4 linked regions of the Struthio camelus genome follow. The protein of the gene in region 1 interacts with the protein of each later gene in a biochemical or structural test. Links are inferred from orthologs where the notes say so. Each region holds a gene or a part of one and is shown in the gene's direction. Other genes may lie near its edges. The genes, in order: ANAPC11, UBE2C, UBE2S and PTTG1.

The links.
Region 2: the proteins of ANAPC11 (region 1) and UBE2C form a complex in vitro, tested with the Homo sapiens proteins (66 studies listed by BioGRID). The link is inferred for Struthio camelus from reciprocal best matches to the Homo sapiens genes ANAPC11 and UBE2C.
Region 3: the proteins of ANAPC11 (region 1) and UBE2S form a complex in vitro, tested with the Homo sapiens proteins (31 studies listed by BioGRID). The link is inferred for Struthio camelus from reciprocal best matches to the Homo sapiens genes ANAPC11 and UBE2S.
Region 4: of the proteins of ANAPC11 (region 1) and PTTG1, one has a biochemical effect on the other in vitro, tested with the Homo sapiens proteins (3 studies listed by BioGRID). The link is inferred for Struthio camelus from reciprocal best matches to the Homo sapiens genes ANAPC11 and PTTG1.

Annotation. Positions count from the first base shown.
Region 1 is NC_090960.1:404,229-410,527, reverse strand, and holds ANAPC11 (anaphase-promoting complex subunit 11), read left to right. Parts: upstream 1-4,654; 5' UTR 4,655-4,694; coding exon 4,695-4,803; intron 4,804-5,061; coding exon 5,062-5,207; 3' UTR 5,208-5,212; exon of another isoform or gene 5,213-5,299; intron 5,300-5,329; 3' UTR 5,330-5,467; downstream 5,468-6,299. Other genes in the region: ALYREF (THO complex subunit 4), read right to left, coding at 655-835, 1,014-1,077, 1,181-1,328, 3,837-3,968, 4,236-4,466; NPB (neuropeptide B), read left to right, coding at 5,818-6,036. UniProt on the Homo sapiens protein: Together with the cullin protein ANAPC2, constitutes the catalytic component of the anaphase promoting complex/cyclosome (APC/C), a cell cycle-regulated E3 ubiquitin ligase that controls progression through mitosis and the G1 phase of the cell cycle.
Region 2 is NC_090959.1:19,299,480-19,305,832, forward strand, and holds UBE2C (ubiquitin-conjugating enzyme E2 C), read left to right. Parts: upstream 1-4,052; 5' UTR 4,053-4,330; coding exon 4,331-4,431; intron 4,432-4,504; coding exon 4,505-4,532; intron 4,533-4,604; coding exon 4,605-4,691; intron 4,692-4,875; coding exon 4,876-5,080; intron 5,081-5,213; coding exon 5,214-5,273; intron 5,274-5,437; coding exon 5,438-5,496; 3' UTR 5,497-5,674; downstream 5,675-6,353. Other genes in the region: DNTTIP1 (deoxynucleotidyltransferase terminal-interacting protein 1), read left to right, coding at 357-425, 876-932, 1,160-1,221, 1,571-1,616, 2,092-2,150, 2,347-2,407, 2,808-2,879, 3,329-3,384 and 1 more; regulator of G-protein signaling 9-binding protein-like, read right to left, coding at 5,934-6,353. UniProt on the Homo sapiens protein: Accepts ubiquitin from the E1 complex and catalyzes its covalent attachment to other proteins. In vitro catalyzes 'Lys-11'- and 'Lys-48'-linked polyubiquitination.
Region 3 is NW_027182594.1:68,311-76,209, reverse strand, and holds the start of UBE2S (ubiquitin-conjugating enzyme E2 S), read left to right. Parts: upstream 1-4,585; 5' UTR 4,586-4,792; coding exon 4,793-4,795; intron 4,796-5,189; coding exon 5,190-5,210; intron 5,211-6,554; coding exon 6,555-6,702; intron 6,703-6,930; coding exon 6,931-7,121; intron 7,122-7,899. UniProt on the Homo sapiens protein: Accepts ubiquitin from the E1 complex and catalyzes its covalent attachment to other proteins. Catalyzes 'Lys-11'-linked polyubiquitination.
Region 4 is NC_090954.1:14,386,920-14,395,078, forward strand, and holds the start of PTTG1 (securin), read left to right. Parts: upstream 1-5,094; 5' UTR 5,095-5,313; intron 5,314-5,421; 5' UTR 5,422-5,484; intron 5,485-5,997; 5' UTR 5,998-6,018; coding exon 6,019-6,100; intron 6,101-6,400; coding exon 6,401-6,579; intron 6,580-6,976; coding exon 6,977-7,070; intron 7,071-7,945; coding exon 7,946-8,095; intron 8,096-8,159. Other genes in the region: pre-mRNA-splicing factor SLU7, read right to left, coding at 1,076-1,141, 2,701-2,865, 3,427-3,507, 3,805-3,958, 4,580-4,743. UniProt on the Homo sapiens protein: Regulatory protein, which plays a central role in chromosome stability, in the p53/TP53 pathway, and DNA repair. Probably acts by blocking the action of key proteins.

The DNA of each region.
Region 1 (6,299 bases):
CAGAGAAGACTGCTCTAAAGCACAGCACAGTTCCATGTCAATTTTTCTGGCTTCTGTCATACTGCTGCCTCAATTTTATCCCATGCCTACAGAGACCAGCAAGATTCAGATTACAATACACACGCACTTAACCTTGATTCCCTGTCAACAAATTAACCTTGCTGTGGCACAAAGACATCTGAGCCAGTTGGGAATGAAGTGCTCTTCATTCAGCTCTGCACTTTATGGACTTGTATACCATGAACAGCATCACTAATCTCTTCTCTGTTAGCATCAAATGTCATTATCTCACATATGTTTTTTACTTTTGTTTTTCATTTTTTCCAGCCTATTATCTCTGTTATTTTGTTATGCAGCTATTGTTCATACATTGCTATTTCAGCTATAAAAGGGTCCAGCCTACATGGGCCCTAGACAGTCTGGGGAAGCTGGAAAAGTGGCTATTTCTCAACGATGGGCAAGGAAAAGCTGTAGATAAAGTGTTTTGGAAAGTTAAATTAACTGCAGGAACAAGGCATTGCTCAGCTTTAGAGGGAGACTATTCAGTCCAATGATCCGAGAAGTGATCCCTTTCCTGCCAGCCCTGGGCCGTCAATGTTTCCCAGCACCAGATCCAGCAGGGTGCACCGTTCTGCAAGTACGAGCAGCACTTACCCTGGCATTGTAAGCATCCAGCTGTGCATCTAGTTCTTCTGCAGAGAGTTGCTGTTTGGAAGTTCTTCCAGCTCCTCTGCCTCTCCCTCTGCTCCCACCACGACTACCTCGCCTGTTGCCACCTCCACCACCAAATCCTCCTGTACCACCACGGTTTCTGGTCATGCCACCTCTGTTTACACTGTGATTTTTAAAAAGCAACCGTTACAGTGCATTCTCGTTAACCCAGACAGCCACTCAGAAGTTTGTAGAATGGAAGATGGATCCATGCTTCCTATACAGAGGGAGGCTATGCAAATTGGGAGGCTATCCCCATGCTGACCAGGCACAGCAACTCATGTGGAAGTACAGCATCTCACCTCTGTGCTGGTCTCCTCTGTGTGTCTATCTGTGACGTAACCAGCTGAATGTTCATGGGGCGCCCTAGAAGAAAAGAAGCCAGTAAGTCCATGCAGGGGGATATAGGGACCTGGACTCCTCCAGTTGTCAAGTGAAAAACACCACAGAAACAGCCAAGTAGACTCACCATCCAAGGGGACTCCATTGTACTGCTTCATAGCTTTCAGAGCATCTGCCTTTCTTTCAAAATGCACATCTGCTGTCCCTAGACTGCGGCCAGATCTGTCATAGTGCACTGCTGCCTTCTTCAAGGTCCCAAACTCTGCAAAGAGTTCCTGAGAAACAGAGGGAGAAGAGTGAGCACGCTTCAATCCATGCTGCTAAGGCAGAACGGCCAAGACAAAGCACTGGCCGTTTCCTAGATACACCAACTTTCAGCAAGTACAGGTGCTTTTCAGAACGTCACTGACAACTCAGAAGAAGAATCTCTGAAAGAGCAAACATAAGCCCAACAGAAGAACTTCAGGAAGCGGCTACACACAGCAAAAGCAAGTAAGACACTACTTGCATACTTGGGTGTGTGCATACAGCCAGTGGAGCAGGGTCAAGGGGTGTTGACCTGCCGCTTCTGCCAGGGAAGCTGCACATCTTTGTGCCGAGACTACATGTACAGGGCTGCTATTCAAAAATAATCCAGACCCTAAACCATTTCACAGAGGAAGAATGATCTTTATTTCTATGAATGCAGTGATTCACAAGGTGATCATAGTTTCTATGTGCTGGACTTCTCTTATAAAATCTTTGCTAGACCAGTTACAGTTTAAAAAAACCAATCCTGTCATCTTGGAGCTTAAGAACATATCCCAAAAACTGAGCTTAGGAGGAGTCCTCTACTGAAGTATGCCCTCTTGTTACTCACTGTCTTGAAGGGTGGAAACGAGCAGAGGCAGCAAGAGAGCCACAAATTTTGTTTTGCGCGGGTGCTACTTTTGGTAAATCAACTAGGGACATCTCATAGCTTTGTAAGTTTCTATTATAGCTAGTGCCTCGAAAGCTCAAAATCTACACCAGAATTGTCGGATGTCCAAAGGGAGACTGCCTGCCACCTTTCATGTTATCCGCTGCAACGCCTGAACATTATTCCAATATTTCCAGTATTTGAAAAGAGCAACACAGATATTCTTTTACTTCCTAAGCAAACAGCACTCCAGGCAAGATTGCAGGCCAGCTTCTACCTTGTATTCATTTAACTGACGTGCACGTTAACACAACACTCTGTACAAGCCATCTGGAATACGGAGCAGCACACACAAAGAGCTGCTCAACAACGTCTTAAGGAACAGCCTCTCTCACTGTGCTACAGAAAACCCTGGTTCTCCATGAGCAGCAGTGGTGGGTCGGGGTATGACACTATATATGTCTTCTCCAAGAGCTTGTTTTAGGTTCCTTCCAGTCACCCATTCCTGGCAATACAACTCCCGGGCTACCTTGTACCTCATTAATGACCCGATTAGCATAAAAACAAGGAAACTAGCCAGCACAGGAAGTGCTAAATTATGAGGCAGTAGTAACAAATAGGTACAAGCCTGTTAAGTCAGCTTTGCTGCTAAATAAAACACACGTGGAACTTCATCAGCACCTATAGTCCAAAACAACAGCGAGAAAGACATACCCATCTGCCACACACACACACACACCCCTACAAAAACTAGTTGAACTGAAGCAACTTCACAGACTCACGTTTTATACATGAGGGCCTGACTACAGTAAACAAGGAACTTATTTCAACCAAAGCTAACTTTAAATAGGAAAAAAGAAGTGGCCTTAAGTGCATTACCCAAACAAACGTCAACTCGGTGACCTGAAAAAAACACTCGCTCTCAATTCTCCAGACGTAGCCAGCTTAACTTACAAGGTAGCTGAAACGAACTAACAGATGAAAAAGCGTTTATTTTCTGGCAGGAGGCACAGGGACCAAAAGCCAACTTAAAGTGAAGTGTTTTGCAGTGTAACCTAACTAGCACAGCCCCCTAGTGGGGATGCACCTTACATTTGCAAACGTTTGTGGCTGTACAGTTTACTGCCCATACATTACAGCACCCTTATAGCTAGGTGGGTCCACCAATTTCAATCTCCGTTCTGATCAATTCAGCCATAAAGACAAATCACACCATATACCTGACTTAAAGCATCTGGAAGATTTTTAACCAAAGCAGAGCTGAAACTACGACATGGCAACTCAGCTAGAAAATTGAACTACTGTAAGAAATACAAGGTAATTATAGATATCACAACGTAAGGGGGAATGTCCCCCCCGACAAATAAGCCTTCTTAATTTCACTGATCGATGCTGACATAGGAATACTTTCACGCTTAATAGAACGTGGCTTTAGAACAAAGAAACTATGTAAACAAGTCCCATAAAAACAAAGCAAATTGATGTACGTATAGTATAGTTACTGAATTCACAGGGAAATGCAACTTGTGTTTACATAGTTTATACAAAGTTCTCAAGCCACAGATGGATTCAGGCAAACACCAGTATATTTTCCCACACAAACATTCTTGCTAATGCTAATAGCCGCAGATCAGAAGAGGCCAGCAGCTTCTTTGAATTGCAGTTACCTTCACATCCTCAGAACAACTGCACAAGAAATACTCATGGCACAAATACAACCACAAACCTAGAGTTAAAGGATTTGGAGATCTCCCCTCTGGGCCACAGAAAGCAGCGGGACCTCAAGAGCTACAGCATCCCCAGGAAGCGCCCGAAGCAGATGCTATGAATGAATCCCCCCGCCAATGCCGGCCGCGCGCACGACGGGGCCGCCGGCGCCGCTCACCTGGATGTCCGCGTCCGAGACGCCGAAGTCGAGATTGGAGACGAGGAGCTTCCCGCCGGTCTCCACGCCGGCGCCCGCCCCGAAGCCGCTGTCGAACAGGTCGTGCTGCCACTTCTCGGGCAGCTGCTTCGGCTGCAACGAGACCGCCACCTCGCTGACCGGGGCCGGGCCGGGGCTCCCGCCGCCCGCCACGCGCCCCGGGGCCGCCGGCGCGAACAAAGGGCCGCCGGGCAGCCCGCCGCCGCCGCCGCCCCCCGCCACTGCCGCCCCCCGCCCGGCCCGGCCCGGCCCGGCCCGCCGCCGCCGCTGCCCCGGCCCAGCCCCCCGCCCGGCCCGCCGCCCCCGGCCCCGGCCCCGCGCGCGGCTGCGCCGCCGCCGCCGCCCCGCCCCGCTCCGTACCCGGCTGTAGGGCGCGGGCCGGTTCCTGCCGCCGCCCCGGGCCATCACCGGCCGGTTCCGCACGGGGCCGCCGCCGCCCGCTCGCCCGGCTCCCACAGCGCCCCGGCCGGGCCCGCCGCCGCGGGTGGCGCCTCCCCGGCCCCGGCCGCCCCGACCGCCCCGGCCGGCGCCCCGCTGGCTCCGGTTGAGCTTAATGATATCGTCCAGGGACATGTCCATCTTGTCGGCCATGATGGCGGCTCCGCTCCGGGGCCTGCACTTCCGGCCGCGCTGCGCCCACGCCGGAAGCGGAGGGGGCGGGGCTGGCGGCGAAGGCGCGGCAAGCCGCGCGCGCTGCCGCGCGGGGCCTTATGGGGCGGCGGCGGCTCCGGCGATGCGGCCGGGCAGGGGGCGGGACTTCCGGCGGGGAGGGGCGGGACTTCCGGCGGGGCGGGGCGGGGCGAGGCGAGGCGGGCGGCGATGCGGGTGAAGATCCGCGGCTGGAACGGCGTCGCCTCCTGGCTCTGGGTGGCCAACGACGAGAACTGCGGCATCTGCCGCATGGCCTTCAACGGCTGCTGCCCCGACTGTGAGTACCGCCGCGCCGCGACGTGACGTGACATGCCGTGGCGTGGCGTGTCGAGGCGTGACGTGGCGTGGCGTGTCGAGGCGTGACGTGGCGTGGCGTGTCGCGCCGCGCCGTGACGTGCCTCGCCGGGGTGTGATGTGATATGTTGCGGTGTAACGTGACGTGGCATGCCGTGACGTGACGTTGCATGTCGTGACGTGGCGTGGCATGTCGCGGCATGACGGGACGCGCCGTGACGCGCCGCGGTGTCTGTCCTAGGCAAGGTGCCCGGCGACGACTGCCCGCTGGTGTGGGGTCAGTGCTCGCACTGCTTCCACATGCACTGCATCCTCAAGTGGCTCCACTCGCAGCAGGTGCAGCAGCACTGCCCCATGTGCCGCCAGGAGTGGAAGTTCCGCGAGTGACGCCGCGCCCGGGCCCGGCCGCCGCCGGCAGAGCCGCCCTGGGGCTCGGGGCCGGGGCTCGGGGCCGGGGCTCGGCCCTGGGGCGGCTGCCGCCCCGCTGCGTGGCGCTGCGGTGACGGCCGGGCCCCAAGCTGCGACTTCCCTACCTGCGCTGCTGCCCGTAAACTCGCTGCTGTGATCTGCTTGTTCCAGCGTCCCTGGCGCCGCTGGGCTCTGGAGGGGCTCAGACCGCGGGCAGAGCCGCCGGCCCCCACGGCGGGGCAGGCAGGGGACGCGGGGTGCAGCCTGCGCCAGCCTGGGACCCCCGGGCGGACCCGGCTCCCCACGGGCTGGACGCGCTCCGAGCCTCCCCCCGGCAAAGCGCAGCCCAGCCGTGTCGGCGGGCGGGAGCCCTGCCTGGGGCAGGTGCCAGGACGCCCCAGCGAGCGGGGCCACTAATGAGCGGGGCCAGGTCGAGCAGCTCCTTCCCCGCGGGCAATGCCACCCCGGGGAGGCGGGCTGCTCGGCTGCGGCGGGGGAGGCGCAGAGGAGGTGGCATGTCACCCCCCCCCCAACCTGCCTATAAAGGCAGCAGCAGCAGCCCTGGAGCTGCTGCAGTCCTGCTGGCACCATGCACGCTGTCCGCTGGCTGGGGCTGGCCCTGGCCCTGGCCCTGGCCCTGCTGTGCCGCCCCGCTGCGCCTTGGTACAAGCAGGCGGCCGGACCCAGCTACTACTTGGTGGGCAGAGCCTCGGGGCTGCTCTCCGGCATCCGCCACTCGCCCTACATCCACCGCTCCGACCCCAACGGTGCTGCCGAGCACGGCCCCCGCGTGCAGCTGCACGCTGCGGTGAGTACCGGCGCCGCCGCGCGGAGCTCCGGGGCACGGTGGGCGCTGCGGCGGGGCGGCTCCCCGGGTCCTCTGTGGGGCTCTGCAGCACGGTAAGTACCGGGACCTCCGTCAGGGTCCTGGAGTGCCCCGTGGGGCTCCGCACCTTAGCGAGCATCCGGAACCGAGTCGTCTGCCTGTGGGGCACAGGGAGCTCCCATCCCCTGGCGAGGCTGCGGGCTGTGGCAGGTGCCAGGGTGCCCCAGCTCCCCTGGCAGGGCTCC
Region 2 (6,353 bases), on another chromosome or scaffold:
AAGACTGTGATCTTCTTCTTTCAGATCTTACTTTTGTGCCGGTCATCCTGACTTGATCGTGCTCTTGCATCTCACTGTCTGTGAACAGCACTGCGCTTTAGAATCACTCTGCAACCAGAGCTGATATAGGGCTTCTGGCCAGATACACTTGAATCTCTGGGGTCTGCAGTGACCAGCCCTTGTGGTCTACTGGGCATCTGAGTCATTAGCTATGGCCTTTAAAGTTTACCTGGCCTGGGGCTCTCTCTCCAGCGCGAGTGTCTTTGCACACATGAGCCCCTTTCATAGGGAAAGGCAGGGGTAGCTGGCAGTCCCTCTCTGGACCCAGAATCAGATAATCCTTTCTCTTCTTACAGGCCAAGCTGCTTTTCTCTGATGGCAAAAAGGTGATCCCAAGGTTGCCCCATGAGCAGGCGGTACCAAAGGTAAAAGTTGTTATTGTTCCTGTAGTCTTAAATGACTTTAAGAGCTGGAAGAAATAAGAGGAGGGTTTTGAGTTGCTTTGTTTTCTGCCTGTTCCTTATCTGTTGAATTACAGAATCAATATGTAAGTGGGGGGTACAGTGTTGTCCTTTAAAAGCTGCAGGATAGATCTCTCCCTGATATCTGGTTGTCCATCAGTTGCTCTAATGAGGGGGTAGAACTGGGAGATGTTGGGCTAGGAGGGAGGGGGTACAGAGCAACAAAAGTCCCATGCGCTGTTGCTTATTGCAACTACGTGCTTCATACCGAGATGGGTTGGCTTCAGCGTTCCCTGTGCACTTGTGCTCTGTGCCCCAAGTGCGGCAGATAAGAGAGTAGCTGACAGGGTGGGTGGGGGTTCTGACTAGACAGGGAGAAGGGCTGCTGTTCACTTCCTGCCGTTCCTTTGCCAGCGTGCCAGACAGATGGATGAGGAGTTGAATCGGCGAGGAAGCCCTGTTCCCAAAAAGGTAGGGTTTTCCACAAAAATGCTTTTATGTTATGGGAAGCCTCTTCCTCATCCTTCCCAGAAAATAAGTGCATGCAGATGCAGCTTTTGTAATGCCTTAGAGGTCCTTACTCTAGGGCTAGCCAGCACTTTGCTCGTGGTAAAAAGAGCAATTTTCCCAGCAGAGGATAACCGAAAGAGTACCCTCAGCCTACACAAATGAGTAGCTCAAGGATATCTTTCTTGCAGAGAAAGGGTCGGCCTCCAGGACAGAGCCTGGCAAATGATCGTGGGGTCTCGGGCATGGCTGCGTGAGTATGGGTTCTGACTTAGAGCCTGCGCTTGGAGAGGGTGGGGAATGAAGCAGGGAGTGTAGAAGACCCTCTGGAAAGCAAGGCCCAAAGGGGCAGAAGGGTCCAGATGGACTATTCAGGGTGAGCAGTATATGACACAGGTAGAGGTGGGATGTTGGCAGCTGGGGAGAAGAGAATGTGCAGCACGGATGAGGATCCAGAGCTGGGCACTGGAGAGAAATAGAAGGTGTGAATGCAAATGGAGCTGGGAGGGGGTGGAGCTCAGCTCCCTGCTGCTAGGTGCTTGCGGTGTTCTGTGAGTTGGTGCCTCTGGGATCCGTTCTTATTTCATTTTCCTTCCCCTCAGGTGGAAGCTCAAAGTCTCTGAGCCCGTGAGAAGGGATGGACCAAAGGTATCGGTTGGCCAACACTGCTGGGCTCACCCTCTCCTCCTCTTTGCTTCCGTCAGCAGAGCCCCACCTGCTGTGGGACCGGAGGACAGTTCTAAGCTGTGCTCTGCCCTGATGGGCCTCTGTGTTGCAAAGAAAGAAGCAAGAAGAGGAGTGAAGTGCCTGGAAGCCTATGCTCGTCTCCTCCAGTCACTGTAGCCTATAGTTCTGTGGTGTGGTACCAGCTTTTCAGGAGACTTAGGGCAAGCAGTAGTAGCCAGGAGGATCCCACGAGTGTTATGTGCCGAGGAAACTGCTTAGAGCAGCCCAGGGTGACATAATTTCCCTCCTCTGTGGAAATCCAGAGGTTTGTGGCTAGCTGCCTCCCTCCCAGCTCAGGGGGCGGTTCTGAGGCCCCCATCAGAGATCTGAGGCTCATGGAGCATTGGTTGGCACCAGCTTCATTTCTAATGTTGCCCCTTTTCCAATTGCTCTGTAGTGGGATCCATCCCGACTGACTGAAACCACAACCTTTGTGCTGGGATCTCGAGCAAACAAGTAAGGAATGGCCCTGTTGATGGAGGGTGGTGTCTCCCAGGCAGGAGCCCTTAAGACTCCTCCCATCACCTCTCTGCCTTGGAAGCAGTAGGAAGGGCACGGGCTTGGGGAGGAGAGGAGAGGAGAGTAAGTGTCCCTGTACCGCTCAGTGCCCCTTCTGCACCGGTTTAACACCCGCCTCGTGTTCCTGTTTCAGAGCTCTCGGGATGGGAGGAACAAGAGGGCGACTCTACATCAAACATCCCCACCTCTTTAAGGTCAGATACCACAGCAGGATGCTTCCTCCTTTGGGGTTTGCTCAGAAACAGTTTGTGATGGGAATCAGGAATGTATGCTTTGGCTCACTTGTTGTCTTCCTCTCCCACACCCTTGTTTGTTGTCTTAGAACATCTAGAGTCTGGCTAGCACACTGAAACATAAGCTAACAGCCTAGTGCAGCCTCTGAAGTGGTGTTTTTGCCTGGAGCCAGGGTTTTACTCTGAAGTAAAAGCAGGCAGAGCTGAGCGTTCCCTCCCTGAAGATACAGATCGGCAGCATTTGGGGGGTCGTGCAATTGCAGTGGAGCACTAGAATGGGGTTCAGTGCCCAAATACAGGGGTGGTCAGAGCAAAAGGTCTGTTGCCTGTGTTCAGCTAGGTCCTTGCTGCTTTATTGCAGTATGCAGCCGATCCGCAAGATAAGCACTGGCTGGCAGAGCAGCAGCACATGAGGGCCACTGGGGGCAAGATGGTGAGTACGTTCAGGCTTGCGCCTGCCGCAGCCTGAGAGAGAACTGTACAGAATCCCAATTCAGGATTGAAATGGGCAGGTGAGCAGTAAACCAGGGCACGTGCAGCGAAAACAGTGTGTTGTGGGGAAGGTGAGTTTGTGCAGGAGGCCAGGCAGAGCTCGGTGAGGCAGTTGTTTCTGGGTGCTTGGGGCACCTCAGCCAAGGAGATTGTGTTTTGCTGCTCCTCTGGGATTTGGGCACATATGAGAGAGTAGGGCAGAACCAGGAGGTACCAAAAGCTCCTCGTAGGAGCAGGTCTGCAGGCTGGTGGGGTTTAACAGGGCCAGCGGGAAGGGGGTTATGAGCTTCCATCACTGTGCCAGGCAGACATCTCATTTCTGAGCAGAAGCATGGTGCGTCCAAAGCTCTCGCATGGGAAACCTGAAGCGTTTTGCCCCTTGTGCTGCAGGCTTATCTCCTCATTGAAGAGGATATTCGGGATTTGGCTGCCAGTGAGGATTACAGGTGAGGCTAGAAGCCCAGAAGTCTTTTGTGCTGCAACCTTCTCCCCTTTAGTGAAAATGGCTCAGAACCAGGGGCTACCCTGCCCGTGCAAGAGCCGCAGGGGTCCCCGCTCAGCGCTGGCCTCTGCCCTCCGCAGGGACTCCGTTGACCTGAAGCTGGAGGAGCTGAAGCCCTTCATCCCACCGGCCTGGATGACGGAGAAGATGCAGAAGTACATGGAGACGCTTCGCAACGGAGGGGACCCGCTACCGCCGCCGCCGCCGGAGGGGCCCCCCGAGCCCTGAGGCCTGCCCTGCCCAGTGGCCCCGCCGCCGCCCGGCGCCACCCCGGCACCGGCCCTCGCAATAAAGCTGCTTCGCACCCGCCTCCGCTGCCTCCTTCCCGAGGGGTAGGGGGGTTGGGGGGGGGGGGTGCTGGCCCTTTAAGGGGTCCGCCTGGACCCCCCCCCCCCACCCCGGGCTGGGAGGTCACGTCACGGGTGAGCCGCCAATAGGGGAGCGTGTGTGGCGTCGCCGTGCGACCAATCGGCGGCCGGCCGCTGTTTCCAAGGCAGCCGCATCCCTTGCGAGCGGTGATTGGTCGGCTCGAAGGGAGCGCGCCGCCGATTGGCGGAGGGGCCGCGGGTTTGAAACATTCAAACGGGGGCGCGGGAGCGGCGGGGGCGAGCGGGGACGGCGGAGCGGGGACGGCGGGGCCGGCAGCGGAGCGGAGCGGGGACAGCGGGGCCCGGAGCGGAGCGGGGACAGCGGGCCAGGCCGAGCCGGGCCGGGCCGGGAGCAGCCGGGCCCGGGGCGGAGCGAAGCGAAGCCGGGGGCAGCGGGCCGAGCGGAGCCGGGCCAGGGGCAGCGGGCCGGGAGCGGAGCGGAGCCGGGGGCAGCGCCGGGCGCAGCAGGGCGCGAGCAGCCGCGGCCGGAGCCCAAGAGCAGGAGGCGGAGCGGGAGCCGCGATGGCCTCGCAGAACGCGGACCCCGCCGCCGTGCCGAGCGCGGCCGCCCGCAAAGGGGCCGAGGCGGGGGCCACGGCCGCCCGCGGCTCCGTGGGCAAGAGGTGAGGCGGCGCCGGGCGGCCGGGGCGGCTCGGGGGAGCGCGGCCGCCCCGGTAACACGAGCTTCCCCCGCAGGCTGCAGCAGGAGCTGATGTCGCTGATGGTGAGTGGGGCGCGCCGGGGTCGGGGGGGGGTCCGCTGGCTCCGAGCCCCCCTGACGGCGCTGTCCCCGCAGATGTCCGGTGACAAGGGCATTTCCGCCTTCCCCGAGTCCGACAACCTCTTCAAGTGGATCGGGACCATCGACGGCGCGGCCGGCACGGTGAGCGGCCCGGGGCACCCGCGGGGCCGGGGCGGTCCGGCCCCCCCCGGGCCCTGCCTGCCCCCCCCCACCCCCGACAGGGGCGGCCCCGGCCCCCCCGGGCCCTGCCTGCCCCCCCCCACCCCCGACGGGGCGGCCCCGACCCCCCACCCCGGCCGGCCCCCTCCCTGACTCCTGCCCCCAGGCCTACGAGGACCTGCGGTACAAGCTGTCGCTGGAGTTCCCCAGCGGGTACCCCTACAACGCGCCCACCGTGCGCTTCGTCACGCCCTGCTACCACCCCAACGTCGACACCCAGGGCAACATCTGCCTCGACATCCTCAAGGACAAGTGGTCGGCCCTGTACGACGTCCGCACCATCCTGCTCTCCATCCAGAGCCTGCTGGCAGGTGGGGCCCGGCGCGGGGTTCGGGGCTGTGCTGCCGGGGGGGGCCGGGCTGGGCGAGAGCTGCGCCCGCCGGCGGCGGGGCACGGCGGGCCGCTGGGGTCGGGGCCACCGCCGACCCCGTGCCCTGTCCGCAGAGCCCAACATCGAGAGCCCCCTGAACACGCACGCGGCCGAGCTCTGGAAGAACCAAGCTGGTGAGTGTCCCGGGGCGGGATCCCCGCTCCTGCCGCGGCCAGGCGCCGCGCAGCCCCGGACCCCGCTGCGCGGGTGCTGCCCGGCGCCGCGCTGCGCTCCTGTTGCGGGGCTGCCCGGCCGCTCTCCCGGGCCCCTCAGCACCATCCTCTCCCTCTCCTCGCAGCCTTCAAGAAGTATTTGCGGGAAACGTATGCCAAGCAGGCGAAGAGCCAGGAAACTTGACCCCGCGCTCCCCCCCTTCCCGCCGGCAGTGTCTGTCTCTCGTTCTTGGGTCTCTGCTCTCCTGCTCTGTCTCTGTCCTGCCGCTCTCCGCGGCTTTCTGTATCATAGGCTGTTTTTAAATTAATTCTGCAGTCCGAGCCACGGTTAATGTATAAATAAATGCACGTTTATAACTCTGTGCTGGGGGCCCGGAGGGTTAAGCTGCAGCCTGGCATCTTGTCCCTGCGCATGCCTGGTGGCCCCTTCCCACGGGCGCCGTGGCCCAGGCCCCTCTGCCCGTGCGGGAATCAGGAGGGACAACAAACCTCGAGGGCTGACGGGGTCTTTAATAACCCTCCGCGGTGCCCGGGGCATCGCCGGCTCCGCGGCGGCCGCGCCGCCCCAGGCTGCGGGACGGGGGTCCCAGCCCTGCCACTCTCTCGCCCGCCCGGGGCGCATCACAGGACCGCGCAGCAGTGCCCAGTGCCCGGCCGCGGCCCCGCAGCCTGCCTCTGCCCCCGAGCCGCCCCGGCCCGGGTAGCCGCGCTGCCCGCAGCCCGGCCCCGCTGCGTGGCCTCCACCGTCCACAGCGGGATGTTGGCTCTGCTCTCCATCTCCGCCAGCATGGCCCTCATCTGCTCGATCTCCTCCTCGGGCCGTGGGGCGGCCGGGGGCCGCTCGGGGCTGTGGCTGCCCTGGCGGCCGGGCCGCCCCCCGCCGCGGCACGGGCCCTCGGGCCGGCCGCCCAGCCCGGTGCGCAGCAGGGCCGCGCCGCCGGCGCCCGGCGGGCCGAAGAGCTGGCCGAGGTGGTGGGCTTTGCGCAGGTCCTGCAGGAAGAGCTCCAGGGCGCAGAGGAAGAGCACCCACAGCCGCTCCAG
Region 3 (7,899 bases), on another chromosome or scaffold:
GCTCAGTGCAACATGGCACCACGCGACATGGCTCAGTGCAACACGGCACCGTGCAACATGGCACCGTGCAACATGGCACCATGCAACATGGCTCAGTGCAACACGGCACCGTGCGACATGGCACCGTGCAACATGGCACCACGCGACATGGCTCAGTGCAACACGGCACCGTGCGACACGGCACCGTGCAACATGGCACCCACGCGACATGGCTCAGTGCAACACGGCACCGTGCAACATGGCACCGCGCGACATGGCACCGCGCGACATGGCTCAGTGCAACACGGCACCGTGCGACACGGCACCGTGCAACATGGCACCACGCGACATGGCTCAGTGCAACACGGCACCGTGCAACATGGCACCGCGCGACATGGCACCACGCGACATGGCTCAGTGCAACACGGCACCCGCGCGACACGGCACCGCGGGACATGGCTCAGTGCAACACGGCACCGTGCAACATGGCACCGCGCGACATGGCACCGCGCGACATGGCTCAGTGCAACACGGCACCGTGCAACATGGCACCGCGCGACATGGCACTGTGCAACACAGCATCGTGCAACACGGCACCGCGTGGTGCGACACCGCTTGGTGCAACACGGCACCGCGCGACACGGCTCAGGACTGTGCACCACGGCGCTGCACAGCACCGCACGGCGCAACACAGGACTGTGCGACACGGCAGGGTGCGACACGGCTGGGCACCGTGCAACACGGCACCGCACGGCACCGCACGGCACGACACGGCGCGGCTCGGTGCGGCGCAACGCGGCGCGGTGCAGCACGACACGGCTCGGCACGGCACAACACGGCTCGACACGGCACAACACGGCTCGGCACGGCGCGGTGCAGCACGACACGGCGCGGTGCAGCACGACACGGCTCGACACGGCACAACACGGCTCGGCACGGCGCGGTGCAGCACGACACGGCTCGACACGGCACAACACGGCTTGACATGGCACAACACGGCTCGGCACGGCGCGGTGCAGCACGACACGGCTCGACACGGCACAACACGGCTCGACACGGCACAACACGGCTCGGCACGGCGCGGTGCAGCACGACACGGCTCGGCACGGCACAACACGGCACAACACGGCTCGGCACGGCACAACACGGCTTGACATGGTTCGGTGCAGCACGACACGGCTTGGTGCAGCACGACACGGCTCGACACGGCACAACACGGCTCGACACGGCACAACACGGCTCGGCACGGCGCGGTGCAGCTCTGGACTCGGCCAGCTAATGACATCACAGCCCGGGGCTCGGCGGCTGATGATGTCATAGCACCCAGCTCGGCAGCTGGTGACGTCACAGCCCGGGGCTCGGCGGCTGATGATGTCATAGCATCCAGCTCGGCAGCTGGTGACGTCACAGCCCGGGGCTCGGCGAATGACGGTGTCACCTCTGCCCTGGGCGGCTGATGACGTCGCAGCCTGGGGTTCAGCAGCTGATGACGTCACAGCACTCAGCTCTGCAGCGCACGACGTCACAGCCTGGGGCTGACGGTGTCACCTCTGCACTCGGTGGCCAGCGGTGTCACAGCCTCGGGCTCAGCGGCTGATGACATCACAGCCTCGGGCTCGGCGGGTGATGACGTCACAGCCTGGTGCTCGGTGGCCGACGACGTCGCGGCCGCGGGCTTGGCGGTGATGACGTCAGCCTCGGCCTCTGCGGCTGGTGACGTCACAGCCCCGGAGGCGGCAGCAGCTGGCGCCGTCGCCCTGTTCGACTCGCCGCCCGACGACGTCACAGCGTCGGACTCGCCGTCCCGTGATGTCACAGCGTCGGACCTGCCGTCCGATGATGTCACAGCAGCCCGCGGCCTTCCCCCGGGCTCGCGATGATGTCAGAGGCGCCCGGGGCGCCCGGCGCCTCCCCCGGCCTTCGCCGCTTCTCGATGATGTCAAGCCCGCGGGGGCCGCGACTCCCGATGATGTCAGCACTGCGGACTCCCGTCGCCCCCCGATGACGTCACGGTCGGGGCGGCGCCGTCGCCGACCGATGACGCCCGGCGCGGCCGCGGGCGTTGCTGACGTCGGTGACGTCACAGCCGCGGGGGTTCCCCTCCCCCCGGTGATGATGTCACAGGGCGGAGGCGCCCGCCTCACCATGATGTCACTGCCAAGACTCCGCCTCCCGTGGGGGTGGGCGGAGCCCTTTTTGATGATGTCACCTCTCTTCGCTGATGTCACCGGAGAGAGCACACCCCTTTTTAACTCCCCCTTTCCCAGTGATGTCACAGCCTCCTCCCCCGTGACATCACAGCCGTGCTTCGATGATGTCATCGCCGGCGTTCGGGGGGCCCCTCCCCTTGTACATATCTGTCCCAGTGAGTTTGTCAGGTCTCAGCCCCCCCCCCCGGCCGAACCAAGGGCTACCCCCCCCCGGGGGCCCCGGCACACGCGTGTGCACACGTGTCCCACGCGGGAGCAGCCACGGGGCGCTCGCACACGCGTGTGCCCCCCCCGTGACCTCCGGGGCCGCCCCGTCCCCACCGAATCGAAGCCATAGAAAAGGGGGGGCCCCAAAAGCGGAGCCGTCGCCGGGGGGGGGCTGCGTGTGCCGCGGGCGCACACGCGTGCCGGCGCATGTCCGTGGCATTGCACACGCATGGGGGGGGTGTCACATGTTCCCCCCCCCGGCGCCCCACGTGTCCCTCCCTGGGGCCCATGTGCCTTAGCGTCCCCCCCCCCCGGACAGGGGGGACACGACGGGGCCCGGGCGGGGGCGGCAGCACACGCGTGTGCGTGTTCTCCCCCCCCGCGACACGTGTTTGCACGCGGCGGGGGGACGTGACACGTGTGCACACGCGTGTCCCTCTCGCGCACACGCGTGTGGAGCCCCCCCCCCCCCAGCTCGAGGGTGTTTTTAAGCCCGATTTTAAGCAAAAAACCTGGTGGCCTGATGGGGGGGGGCCGGGGCGCCCCGAGGGCGGGAGGGATTTTGGGGAATAAACAGACGTTTCCTGGCCGGGGACTCGGCTGGATTCAGATTGGGGGGGGGCCGTGGGGGGTGGTTTGGGGGGGCCCAGTTTCGGGGGTCCCTGGGACTGGGGGGGCTGGTTTGGGGGGGTCCCAGATTGGGGAGGGTCCCATGGGGGCTGGTTTGGGGGTCCCAGTTTGGGGGGTCCCATAAGGGGGGGTGGTTTGGGGGTCCCAGTTTGGGGTGTCCCAGTTTGAGGGGGCTGGTTTGGGGGGGTCCCAATTTGGGGGGGTCCCATGGGGAGGTGGTTTAGGGGGGTCCCAGTTTGGGGGTCCCATGGGACTGGGGGGCCTGGCTTGGGGGGTCCCAGTTTGGGGGGGTCTCATGGGAGGGGCTGATTGGGGGGGTCCCATATTGGGGGGGTCCCATAGGGGGGTGGTTTGGGGGTCCCAGTTTGGGGGGGTCCCATAAGGGGGGGTGGTTTGGGGGCCCCAGTTTGGGGTGTCCCAGTTTGAGGGGGCTGGTTTGGGGGGGTCCCAATTTGGGGGGGTCCCATGGGGAGGTGGTTTAGGGGGGTCCCAGTTTGGGGGTCCCATGGGACTGGGGGGGCTGGTTTGGGGGGGTCCCAGTTTGGGGGTCCCATGGGACTGGGGGGGGTTGGCTTGGGGGGTCCCAGTTTGGGGGGGTCTCATGGGAGGGGCTGATTGGGGGGGTCCTAGATTGGGGGGGTCCCATGAGGGGGGGCTGGTTTAGCAGTCCCAGTTTGGGGGTCCCATGGGACTGGGGGGGCTGGTTTGGGGGGGTCCCAGTTTGGGGGTCCCATGGGACTGGGGGGGGCTGGCTTGGGGGGTCCCAGTTTGGGGGGGGTCTCATGGGAGGGGCTGATTGGGGGGGGTCCCAGATTGGGGGGGGGTCCCATGAGGGGGGGGCTGGTTTAGCGGTCCCAGTTTGGGGGTCCCATGGGACTGGGGGGGCTGGTTTGGGGGGTCCCAGTTTGGGGGTCCCAGATTGGGGGGGGGTCCCAGATTGAGGGGGGTCCCATGGGGCTGCGGTGCGTTGGGGGAGGACATCCCCCCCCCGGACGAAGCTTTCCCATGAGCCCCCGCGACAGCCCTTATTTACATACATTAATAGGAATGAGGCCGTTCCTCACGCCTTCCTCGCTGATTGGCTGCACCGGCTGCCGCTCAGTGACGCAACCGCCCCCTCCCGCCAGCGGAGGAAGTCCCGCCCCGCCGGTCAAGCCCTTCCCTCCCTCCCGCCTCCCCTCCCACCGCCCCGCGCGGCCTCTCCCGCCTCCCATTGGCGGAGCCGCCTGCCAATCGGCCGTTTCAAACGCTCCCGCCCCGCCCCTGCCCGCCGACCGTTACGGCGTCAACAACCGCCGCTTCCCGCCCCGCCCCTTCCGCCTCGCGACGTTCGTATTCCGAACCCACCAATCAGCGCCCAGCGCCCGCCCCTCCTCCCTCTTCTCCCATTGGCCCGCGCCCGCCCTTGACACCGGTAGCCCAGCTCCACCCCCAACCGCGGCGAAGGGGCGGGACCGAGCGGCCGCGCTCCGCCGGCGCTGATTGGCGCGGGGTGCGGGAGGGGGCGGGTCCGGCGGGGCCAAGAGGCTATAAAGGGCGGCGCAGAGCACGCGCCGCGCTCAGTGCGACGGGTGGGCGGCGGCGGCCGGAGCGGCGGGAGCGGGCGGCGGCGGCGGCGCCGCGGATCGGCGGGCACCTGCCGCTCTCCGGTGGGGAGAGGGGGGCCCTGCTGCGGACCCTGCCTCTCCCCACCCCCCCGGCCACCCGGCGAGGCCCCCCCGGGGCAGGGGGGGGGGCCCTGAGCGGCCTCCACCGGGCCTAGCGCCATGGTGAGTGCTCCCCGGACGCCTGGGCCCCTTGCGTGCACTTTTTTTTTTGGGGGGGGGGGGACACTTTGAGCTGGGCAGGGTTTGGGGGCAAGAGGGGCACCACCCCCCCCCAACTGCCTCCCCCTTCCCCCCCAGGCCTGTTTCCCCTCAAGCTGACTGGGGGAGGGGGGGGGGACATGGCCCCTTCTCCCCCCCCCCCAAACGTGGGTCTGTCGGGCCCAGCCAGGAGGGGGCTGAAACCAGCCCCGAGAGGGGCAACAGCCTGAAACTTGCTACCTTTGGGCCTGTTTAATTTGAGGGGGGGGGTTAAATGCAGCCCCAGGGGGTGTCCCCCCCCCCCCACGAGCTGTGGTGCAGCAATGGGTCGTTTCATCCCTTTTTCCTTCCCTTGCAGGAGGCTCGAGGTGCCTGGCAGGTGAGTGTGAAACCGGAGCGGCTTTAGGGTCTGGCACCCCCCCCCCCACTCACCCCAATTCTGCCCCCCCCCCCCCAGCAGGTGCCCCAGGGACTGGTCTGGGGGAGCCCTCGGCCGCGGGGCAGCGCCAAACCTCCAGGCGCCGCCGTCCCGCTGCGGGACGGGAAAGTTTGAGCGCGCCGAGTTGCTCCCTTGGGCCGGACGAGGGAAAATAGCGGCTTTTTTTTTTTTGGGGGGGGGAAATAAATAAATAAAAAGGGGGGGGTCGCATGAGGCTCCTCCGCAGGTGGGGAGCGGCCAAACCTCCGTCGCTTCCCCCTTTTCCGGCTGGTCTGGGGGGGTCCGAAGCCCTCCCCGGTCGGGGCCTGCTCTCGCTCCCGGTTTGGCAGGCCGGGGCCGGGGGGAAGGAGGTGCCGGAAGCGACCTGCCCTCGCGCGAGGCCTTCGCTCCTGACAAACATATTTGCTCCCGCCGCCAAGTAAAAGCACGTCCGTCCGTCCCCCCCCCACCGCCACCTCCGTCCCCCCCCCCCGCCGCCGCCGTCCCCTCCAACCCGCTGCGCAGCGGGTCGGGCGAAAAGGCGTCCAAACGCAGGGCGAGAGCGGCCGAGCGGCCGCCTAGGCCTCGGGGAGAGTCCGCTAAATCAACAATAAGTCCGGGAAAAGGGGCCGCGGCGGCTGCGCTGGGGGCTGCGGGGAGGGGGGGGCTCGCTACCAGCTGGTGGGGGGGGGGGGGGAGACGATTTGGCAGCACGGTGGGGGGATAAGTTGGCGTCGCTGCCCGAATCGTCTTTCGGCAGCTCCTTCCCTGCGCGTCTTCGGGGGGTGCTGAGGGCCGGGTGGCTCTTGGGGGCCTCGGGGCGGAAAGCGGAGGTGGGGGGGGGGGGGATGTTTTTGGCCTTCGGGGAGACCGGCTCCGTTCTCGGCGCTCCTGGTCTCTTCCCCGGCGCGCCGAGGCCTTGTTGGCCTTCTCGGACGTTTCGTCTCGAATCCGGGGCCGTTTCTAGGTGTTTTGGGGGGGGGGGGGGGCTGCTAACGATGCCCCCGGCAGCACCCGCTGCCCAAACTTTTGCCGGCCGGGGCTGGCGCATGGGACGCGCTCGGAGATTCGTTCCCTAGGCGGCTGCCTCCCCCCCCCCCCCCCCCCCCCAAAAAAAAATACCCCGCGTCCGGAGGGGTGGAGCACGAGGCGGCCGAAGAGCCTCTGGGATTTCTGGCGTGGAGCGAGTTGGCCAGTCTCAGCTCGGGAGGCAGCTTGGCCCTGGGGGTCCCTCCGACTTTTGCAGAGATCGGTCCGTGCCGGGGGGGTCTCTGACGCCTCTTCCCCCCCCCCCCCCCTTCCCAGAACTCCAACGTGGAGAACCTGCCGCCCCACATCCTGCGGCTGGTCTACAAGGAGGTGTCGATGCTGACGTCCGACCCGCCCGACGGCATCAAGCTCTTCCCCAACGAGGAGGACATCACCGACGTGCAGGTCACCATCGAAGGCCCCGGTGAGACGGGGAGGGGGGAGGCCCGGGGTTCCCCCCCCCCTTCCCCCCAGCGTGGGGCTGGCGGGGGTCCCTGTCCCCACAGCAACCTCTGTCCTGGGGACAGTGTCCCCCCCCGCCATGCGGACGGGACCCCCCCCCCCGACCAAGCCGAGCGGGAGGGGAGCGCACGGCGCGGGGGGCTCCGGACCGGCTCTCACCCCCTTTCCCCTCTCTCCCCCCCCCCCCCAGAAGGCACCCCCTACGCGGGGGGCGTTTTCCGCATGAAGCTGGTGCTGGGCAAGGAGTTCCCGGCGGCTCCCCCCAAGGGCTATTTCCTCACCAAGATCTTCCACCCCAACGTGGGCCCCAGCGGCGAGATCTGCGTCAACGTCCTCAAGCGCGACTGGAAGGCCGAGCTGGGCATCCGGCACGTGCTGCTGGTGAGCGGGGGGCCCGCCGCGGCTGGGGGGGGACGCGCACACACTGGTGGGGGGGGAAAGAGTGGGGGGGGGGGGCTGCCCCACGTGGTCAGGCTGGGCCCTGGGGTGCCCCACTGAGCCCAGGGAGCTGGGGCACCCTGCCAACCCCCCCCCCCCAAGGGTGCCCTGCCCTGGGCCTTGCATCCCCCCCAGCTGCCCCCACCTGGGGTTGGGGGACATGGGGGTGATGTTAGGGGAGTCCCGGGGCAAATGCGGACTTGGGGGTGACATTAGGGGTGTCCTGGGGCAGACTGGGAGATTTGGGGGTGACATTGGGGGTGTCCCGGGGCAGACTGGGGGACATGGGAGTGACGTTAGGGGTGTCCTGGGGCAGACTGGGAGGTTTGGGGGTGACAGGGATGTCCTGGGGCAGACTGGGGGACTTGGGGGTGACATTAGGGATGTCCTGGGGCAAACTGGGGGAACTGGGGTGATATTAGGGGTGTCCTGGGGCAGACTGGGAGGTTTGGGGGTGACAGGGATGTCCTGGGGCAGACTGGGGGACTTGGGGGTGACATTAGGGATGTCCTGGGGCAAACTGGGGGAACTGGGGTGATATTAGGGGTGTCCTGGGGCAGACTGGGGGACATGTCGGTGACGTTAGGGGTGTCCTGGGGCAGACTGGGGGATTTGGGGGTGACATTGGGGGTGTCCCGGGGCAGACTGAGGGACATGGGGGTGACGTTAGGGGTGTCCTGGGGCAGACTGGGAGGTTTGGGGGTGACAGGGATGTCCTGGG
Region 4 (8,159 bases), on another chromosome or scaffold:
ACCAGTCTTGCTTCTCTGTTTATCAGAAATGGTTCTTTATGTTTCAAATATACTTTTCTTCTACCAGTTCTATTTTGTAAGGAATAAATATACGGAGGCTAAAAATCTTGCTCTATGGTGGCAAAAAGAATAAGAACCTTATCCACCTGGAAAGAAGTTCAGGCTTACTATGTATTTTGTGTTGGTTGGAGATTAAGTTTACTCTGCCATCTAGTGACAAAATGCAAGGTGACAACATATGGAAAATGGAGGCCCAATTGTACGTACTCTATTGGTTAGTGTGTTTTTTCTTACAGTATAATATTTTGATTAAGAAAACCCCTCAAAATACTTCTCACCAGTAATGATCTCTACTCCCCCTCGTTTTATAAACCTAGAAAATTATCACAAATACCTCTTAAATTAGAATTTTATATTAAAGATTATCAGAAGCCTTGACTAGATAATCCAAGAGGAGCTTGCAGAAGTTAGTGGAAGATGCAAACTCTGTGGAGTTGCAAGCAAGAAGCTTGCATATCCTCAGCCTTCAAATAACCAAAGACACTGCAAAGAGTGAATCAATAACTGAGGAAGATACAAGTTTGGTTCTAAGGAAAAGAAAATGCCTTCCTATTCCTATTTATATGAAGCATTAATCAAGCAACCCATAGTCACATAATGGTCATAACCACATTAGTCAGACATAACAATCTTTACATTAAAACTCTCATTTTAGTGCGTGAACAAAATTACTACATGGGAAATTATTTTTTTCTGACCCACAATTCCATATCATTCATTTTAGCAAGAAATACTAATTGCCAGAACTGAAGCAGGAAAGTCTTGCCTATGAGGGGAAAAACAAAGGCACTTTCATTTGAAAAAAGGTATTTTGCATTCACGTAAACAACACAGAGTATGGATGCATTACGAAGCACTGAAGCATTACTTCAATGCTTCAGGCAGGTCATGTTACTGAAGGGCACGGAAAGCAATAGGAAACTCAGTCTGCAGAGTAAGAGCATCAGAGAGCAAAAGCGACCTTTTTATCTTTATTCAGCCTAAACAAAAATGAATTAGGGTTTAGTTTCCTTACCACTTGCTCCAGCTTTCCTGATGCTAACTCCTCCTGAAGCTTCTGGGCTTTCAGCGTACGTTTGGCCTGCATATCATTAAAATGCACTTGTTTTAATACTTTCTTTCAATCCCAAGTGTGTAATAAGACTCATCACAAGCACCTCTTACGACCACTATCGTTTTAACAAGTATTAATTATTACAAAACGTGGGCTGCGAATTCTCTGGGTGCTTGTCAAAAAACAGCAGCCCAGCTTGCCTACCCTACTCTTACATTTACCATGTTATATTTTTTCAGATCAAGGAAAGGAAATGTGTATATACTAACCATTTTGCTGTTTCATATTATTCTGTTAAAGAGTTTATTAGAGACTACGCGGCTATACTATCCCTACGTACTTCCTAAAAATACTCCCTAACCATCAATTTTTAGATTAAGAAAAAGCTCAAAGCATTTCAATAGAGTTTAAGAACAAACATATTTTATTATTGTGTCCTTTTATGCTGAATCTAGTTAAGAACTTCAATGCTTGAGGTAGGTCATGATTTATACTGCAAGCATTTATGGTTCATCCAGGAAATACTGAAGTCTAAAGTGAGACTCTGAAGCAGCCACGTAGTGAAATTTTGTATGTTTGACATCACAGAACCATAGAATGGCTGAGACTGGAAAGGACCTCTGGAGATCCTCTAGTCCAACCACCCTGCTCAAAGCCGAGTCGGCTACAGCAGTTTGCTCAGGACCGTGTGCAGCTGGGTTTTGAATATCAACAAGGGTGGAGACTCCACAACCTCGCTGGGCAACTCATTCAAGTTCAATCACTCTTACAGTGAAAGCAAGCTTTTTCTTATGTTTAAATGGAATTTCTTGCCCTTCAGTTTCAACTCAGCGACTCCTGTCCTGTCCCTGGACGCCACTGAGAAGAGTCTGGCTCTGTCTTCTTAATATTCTCTCATCACACATTAATACACATATACAAAAATCACATCACTAACATCCAGAATACCTTCATCTAGCATTAGCTTTCCTGTGCACTATAGGGAAAAACTCAAATCCTCAGATCAGGCCCACAAAGGCACTTAGGTATCTAACTGCCTTTTGGAACAGGCCTACCATCCAGCCAAGGTGGTGAACTACTTTTTTAATATGAAGTTAACAGTATCCACATGGATTTGGTACATACAGCTAGAAAATTACTGCAACAGTTAGGTGCTGATCTGCACAGAGACATTTACAGTTAGTCCACTGCTCTATGATAGTAACAAAAGGGACTCACAAGTAACAAAAACACGAATGAAGTTTAAGAAATGAATATAGATGTTAGCTCTGATCATTATAGCCAGCCTATAAATTCCTTTCTGTAATTCAATCTTCATTTTGGGTAATGAATTCTAGGGCTGGCCTAGTAAAAGACAAACAATTTGAAGAGAGAACTCATTTATTGTGCAGACCCATTTTCAGTTGCCAGTTCTGATCTGAGTTCCCAGCTCAGTCTAAGTTGGTTATCAAACACAGACTCCATCTCTGTTTTTCATTATGAATACAGCACAAGATCTAGTATCAGAGCGCACAGAGCACACGTGCCTCCCCTTATCCCCAGCCAAACACAGAATTTTTCCCCAGTAAATTATAGCACCTACATACCAAGTCAACTTTGGAATATTCCTCTACAATCTTCATGTGCTCTTCTGGGTTATAACCATTCCAACGATCTCGTTTTCCATCATAATCAAACATCAGCTGAGGCTGCACATGTTCATCTGGTGCAATGTTCATGCCGGTGTATTTTGCTCCAACTTTCCTGGGTCTCTGAAAGAAAAAGAAATGGTTGGATCAGTTCATTAGACTGAAGTATATTATTCACTTTAAAAATATGGTATCAATTAAGCTGCTCTAAAGCTGATTTAATCCAGCACTAGAAACGAATCGTAAGTAAAAGTAAGTAGTTCATTTCTAGATTTTTATAGTAATGCAACTGTCTAAAACCTATCAATTTACTGCAGCCCCACATAACCCTATCTTCCACAGTTAAGAAAGGAATTAAATTACAATTCCTGGAAAGTGTTCTTAACTGACATGCAACCGAAAAGGTTAGCCTCAGCAGCACTTGAGTAAAAACGAATTAATGCAAAAAATTAAATGATAAACCTTTTCACCTATTATTGCAGCTCTTTTCATATACAGTTGATAGGCAACATCCTGAATGGTTTTTTTTTCCCCCCTACCTAAAGGTTACTTTAGAAATTTTCAAGCAACGCTTCAATATTTGAGAAACTAGTAACGTTCTTGTTATTTATAACCAGCTATTTTCCACTAGAGAAGAATTTGCATTGTTTTCAAAAACATTAAAACATCAAAGGTCAAATTTACCTCCATGCAGTCTTTCTTTTTGTGTGTCAATGCACCACAGTTCTCACAAGCTCCTTTACGATATTTCGTTGCTACAGCATGCTAAACAAAAACAACAAAAAACAGCATTGTACAAGCTTCCACCAAGATTCATAGACGCATTCCTAATAACTACCTCATTTTTTCAATGCAAGCAAAGTATTCATGCTCTCCACAAAGCCATAACACATCTCAGTTATCACTAAACACTGTGAAACGTCTGCTGAGGAAGAATTCCCGGCTCCTGTCGTCTTTAAAACATGTAACCAGAAAACACAGAAGATTATAGGAACCAACGTTTCTATTCTTCCTTTCTCACAGAATCAAATCTTATCTTTACAACCAAAATATTTTGCATACCTCTTGAACTCCTCGTTTGTACCAATCTCCAGAGGAGCTATACTGTTTCTGCTTCTCTGGCTGAGGTCTCTGGTGCTTTAGAGTGGGTCTTTTAGAAGGATCTATGTACCATGGCACTGAAGATATGTACTGAGGAATGTGAGGATTGATATCTCTGTAAAAGATATCACGTAATAAATACATGGCAGGGGAAAAGAATAGCAACTTAACCTAATGCATAACTCTCACCTTCAACTTCAGCGTTTTAGGGCTGATCGTAAAATAACCACCCAAGTTGTTACAATGCTTTCTAAGTTTGTATAATAAATAAAGACTTTTTTTGATGTTCTGTCTTTATAACAGAAGACTTATCTTATAACAAAAATAGTAATATCCCTTCTCATCACAGACAATAACAGGTGCAATAAGACGGTGAAGAGCCTTGCAGAAACCACAGAGAGAAGGAAAGAAATTGATAAGCTGCACAGTTAAGTTCCCCAGCACTACCTTTTGCTCTCTTTTAAAATACCACTTGTAAAGATCTGCACAGGGCAGGGCTTTTTAGCAGCATCCCAACAGATCAGACCAACGCTGAACATACGTTATTCTTTTGCAAAAACAAAAATCTATACATCTGAAGAAGGCTGGAACGTTAAAAGTAAATTCACGAAGTACAATAATTCAGTTCCGCGTTCACCTTTTGTGCTGTCCCTCACGATTTTGTAATCGCAATAAGCAAAATACCTAGTTTTAAACCCTATTACTTTAGAATGACCGTAGCTTTAATAAAACTTACTTTCCTTCTTCATCCACTTCCGCAGGCGCGTTTCCCAGTTTTCTCTGTTCTTCCAACTCCTTCTTTTTCCTCCAGTCTTCCCTTGTCATCTTCTTTGGTTCCTCCAGGCTAACATCACTTGATCCTCCCGAAGGAGTCGCGTTAATTACTGTCCCAGACGCCATTATATCTCTCTCTGTAACAAAAGATCAGTAAATGTGTTCATCCAGGCGCACCGAGCAGCACCTCGCCGGGGCCGGGCCGGGGCCCACCGCCCTGCGAGGGCCCGGGAACCTCCCCAGGCCCAAAGCGGCCGCCCGCAGAGAAAGGAGCCTGCCCAGCACGGTGACCCCTCCGCCCCCGACCTGCCACGGGGAGCTCGGTGCGGCAGCCCCGACTCGAGCAGCCCGAGCGGCCCTGACCGCCCCGCCAGCCTCCGCCTCCCTTGTTTACCGGCTCCGCTGCGCCACACCGCCACACCGCCGCGCCCCACAATGCCCCGCGCCCCGCCTCAGGCCCCGCCCCCAACGGAACTCGCGCCTGCTGGGGCGGGGCCAGGCAGTCACCACAGCAACGCCGCGCCGCCGCCGCCGCTGCGGCTGCCCGCGCCACGCCCTGCCCGCCCTGCCCGCCGCGCGCGCCCAGCGGCAGCCAATCGGCAGCCTGAGCGTTAGTCTAACGGGCCAATGGGAGGTGCGGCGGGGGTTTAAAAGTCGCCGGCAGGACGGACCCCTCTGTTGCGCCGCTCTTCAGAGGTGAGAGGGGTCGTGGTGGGCCGCCGCCGCCGCCGCGGTCGGCTTCCCCCCCCCCCTCCTCCTGAGGCCTTGCATGGCCTGAAACGCGCAACTTTCTCTCTGCTGTAGGTGCTGTTGTTCTGCTCCGTAGCACAGGTCTGTTGGCAGCGCTTGAGGGGGGCCTCTCCCTAGGTAAGTGCTGTTGGGCTGGGAAGGCAGGTTTTGCTTGGCTAAATCTGAGGCCTCTTCTTGGTGTGAGCAGGTGATGGCTCCTGGAGCCTGGCCAGAAGATGGCGTTGAGGTCTGTGGCTGTGAATTTTGCTTTGGCTTTGTGTTTAAGCTCTAAATTCCAAGTTTTACCTCAAGGCAGCTTTTTCTGGAGGCTTTTTTTCCTCCTTGAGTGGTGAATAGCCTGTCTGTCTAAGCAATGGAAGTGAGATCTGGTGAGCTTTTTCTTAGCTGTGCAGGGAGGTACTCTGGATTACCAGTGACACCTTGCTGCTTCCCTGAACTCATGCAAGTTGCACTGGGAATTTTGAGACTATCGTGTGCACTGATAAAGAAAATTATTCCCAAATGGAGAGAAGTATGTCTTGGCTGCTCCTCTAGGAAGCAGCCTGGGGCAACTGTAATGTAGCTTGTTAAAGTGTGCTATTGTAGCAGAGACAATAAAAACTGACTTCTTTCTACTCATGGGCTTCCCAGAGTGGTCTCATCAGCTTGAAGATGGCAACACTAATTTTCATTGATAAAGAGAATGGTGAAGTTGGTGCTACTAAGAATCAGTTAAGACGGCCTTCAGCATCTTGTGAGTATATGCTGCACTGAGTAAACTAATCAGAGGATGGAGTAAAGACCACAAAATTAAGGATTTGCTGTTTGCTGTTTTGGATGTTAGTACAGTTTTATTCTGCATACCTGTATCTAGCATATCAGTTAATATAAAAGTGAAAATAACTATGTGCTTTCATGGTAGAGAACACTTATGCTTTTAAGTTATAAGCAGAGAACAGTGCTTTTATGACACCTAGTTTTCCAACATATGCACATAGTGAAGCAAACTTTATGCTTGTTATAGAGCCAAAACTTACTTTTCCCCCCCCCCCAGCAAAAGTCTTATCTGAAAGAACACAAGTCCATACTCCACTTCCAAAAAAAAAGATCAGTACATCTCCAGCCACATCCCTCTCTGTCAGAAAGGCGCTTGGAAACGTGAACCGAACTCTAGCAGCAACAAGCAAGAAGGAGCAGTTGAAACAGAAGAATCAGCCTTGCACTGCAAAGAAGGTGAGTGCAGTACTTCTGCAGGAAAAATAACACAACTTATCTATGTAGGTACAGCTTGAGTAATATTCAAGGGCGGAGAAGTGACTCTGGAGAAGATATAGCCTGATTTCCTGTTTTGCTGACATCCTAAGTAGTAGGAGCTAATACTGGGAACCCAAATGTTCTAGTGTGGTGATCTGTTGCCCCTGTGTATAGTATATCATTACACTAACTCAGTTGAAGCATTTGCCCTTCTGCAGCTTATTTGCACTGAAGGTGTTAGAACTTAGGCATAACTGAGGACTATGTTGCAGGCATTCTGGTCTGTAGATCTATACATCACAGAAAAGCCCCTACTATAGGTCCTAAAAGGAGGAATTACAGTAGCTCAGATGAATAATGTGCCTCTTTCCTTAAGATTACTGAAAAGACTGCTGGATTAGAAAGCTGTGATGCAGTAGCTGAAGAAGCCTATCCAGAAATGGAAAATATGTTTCCCTATGATCCTCTAGGTAAGAAATTATTGATGGAGTTATCAGAATGAACAATCAGGCTCTTGTTTGAATCTTGATTTGTCTCAAGACTTTGGCCAAGCTATTGTGGCAACCAAACTGGCATTGCATTTCTGGCATCCTTCCTTAAACATAAGGATGCTCACTACTTAGGAGTACCCCCTCATTCTTGTTTGAATGTTTCTAACTGCAGTAGCTGCACTCAAGACACGTAGTCTTCTGAGGCCACTACTGTGGTGGCAGGAAGCTGGTTTCAAATACTAAGATATGGTCTCTTAACTTATTAAATGGCATCGAGAAGACAAGCGCTCAGAAGGTCTTAAGCAGTGCTGAAGTGTAGACTTTTCCTAAGTGTATACTTCAGATGGCAATATGTAACTGGAGAGACTCCTGCTGAAGTAGGAATCCTACTCCTGTAGTTGTATAGTAGAAATCTAAAATCTCTAAAGCTGTTCTTAGAATCTATGCAAACAACTTGCAGTGCTTTTTTAATCCTATATGCCCTCAAACCTCTAGTTTCTAGAAATAGTTTATGTGGAAGTATATAAAAGCTGTTATACTGGAGACTTCAGTGTTGTTGAAACATGTGTTGCTTGATGTAGTTGACTTGAACTGCTTTTCAGTCACCATACTAATGGCTCCTGGGTCATATTAGCAGTTTTGTTTTGCAGTCTACTTGTCTCTTGATTAAATATTAGTATATGGGCTTTTATGGACAGTTGATTGTAACTGCAAATAAGCACCCCATAAATGGACTATTAAATTGAGGTGCTTTGGACCTGGTCCTAATTAAACTTAGGAGGACTTGTTGCTTCCAAGGCTACTGTAAGTGTTGGTGTACACTGCTAGTAAACTACAGTGTTTTCTGTGAACAGACTTTGAGAGTTTTGATGTACCTGAAGAGCACCGACTAAGCCATCTGACACTGAGTGGTGTTCCCCTCATGATATTTGAAAGTACCTCTGACAGACTTGTAAACATGGCTCCTTCTCCTGTGAAGCTCCCCCAAATGTCATGGGAGCATGGTAAGTGGAGATGTGCATGAAGCTCAGTGTATGCAAGTGCTTATTAGTGGTTTGGGAGGGAAGC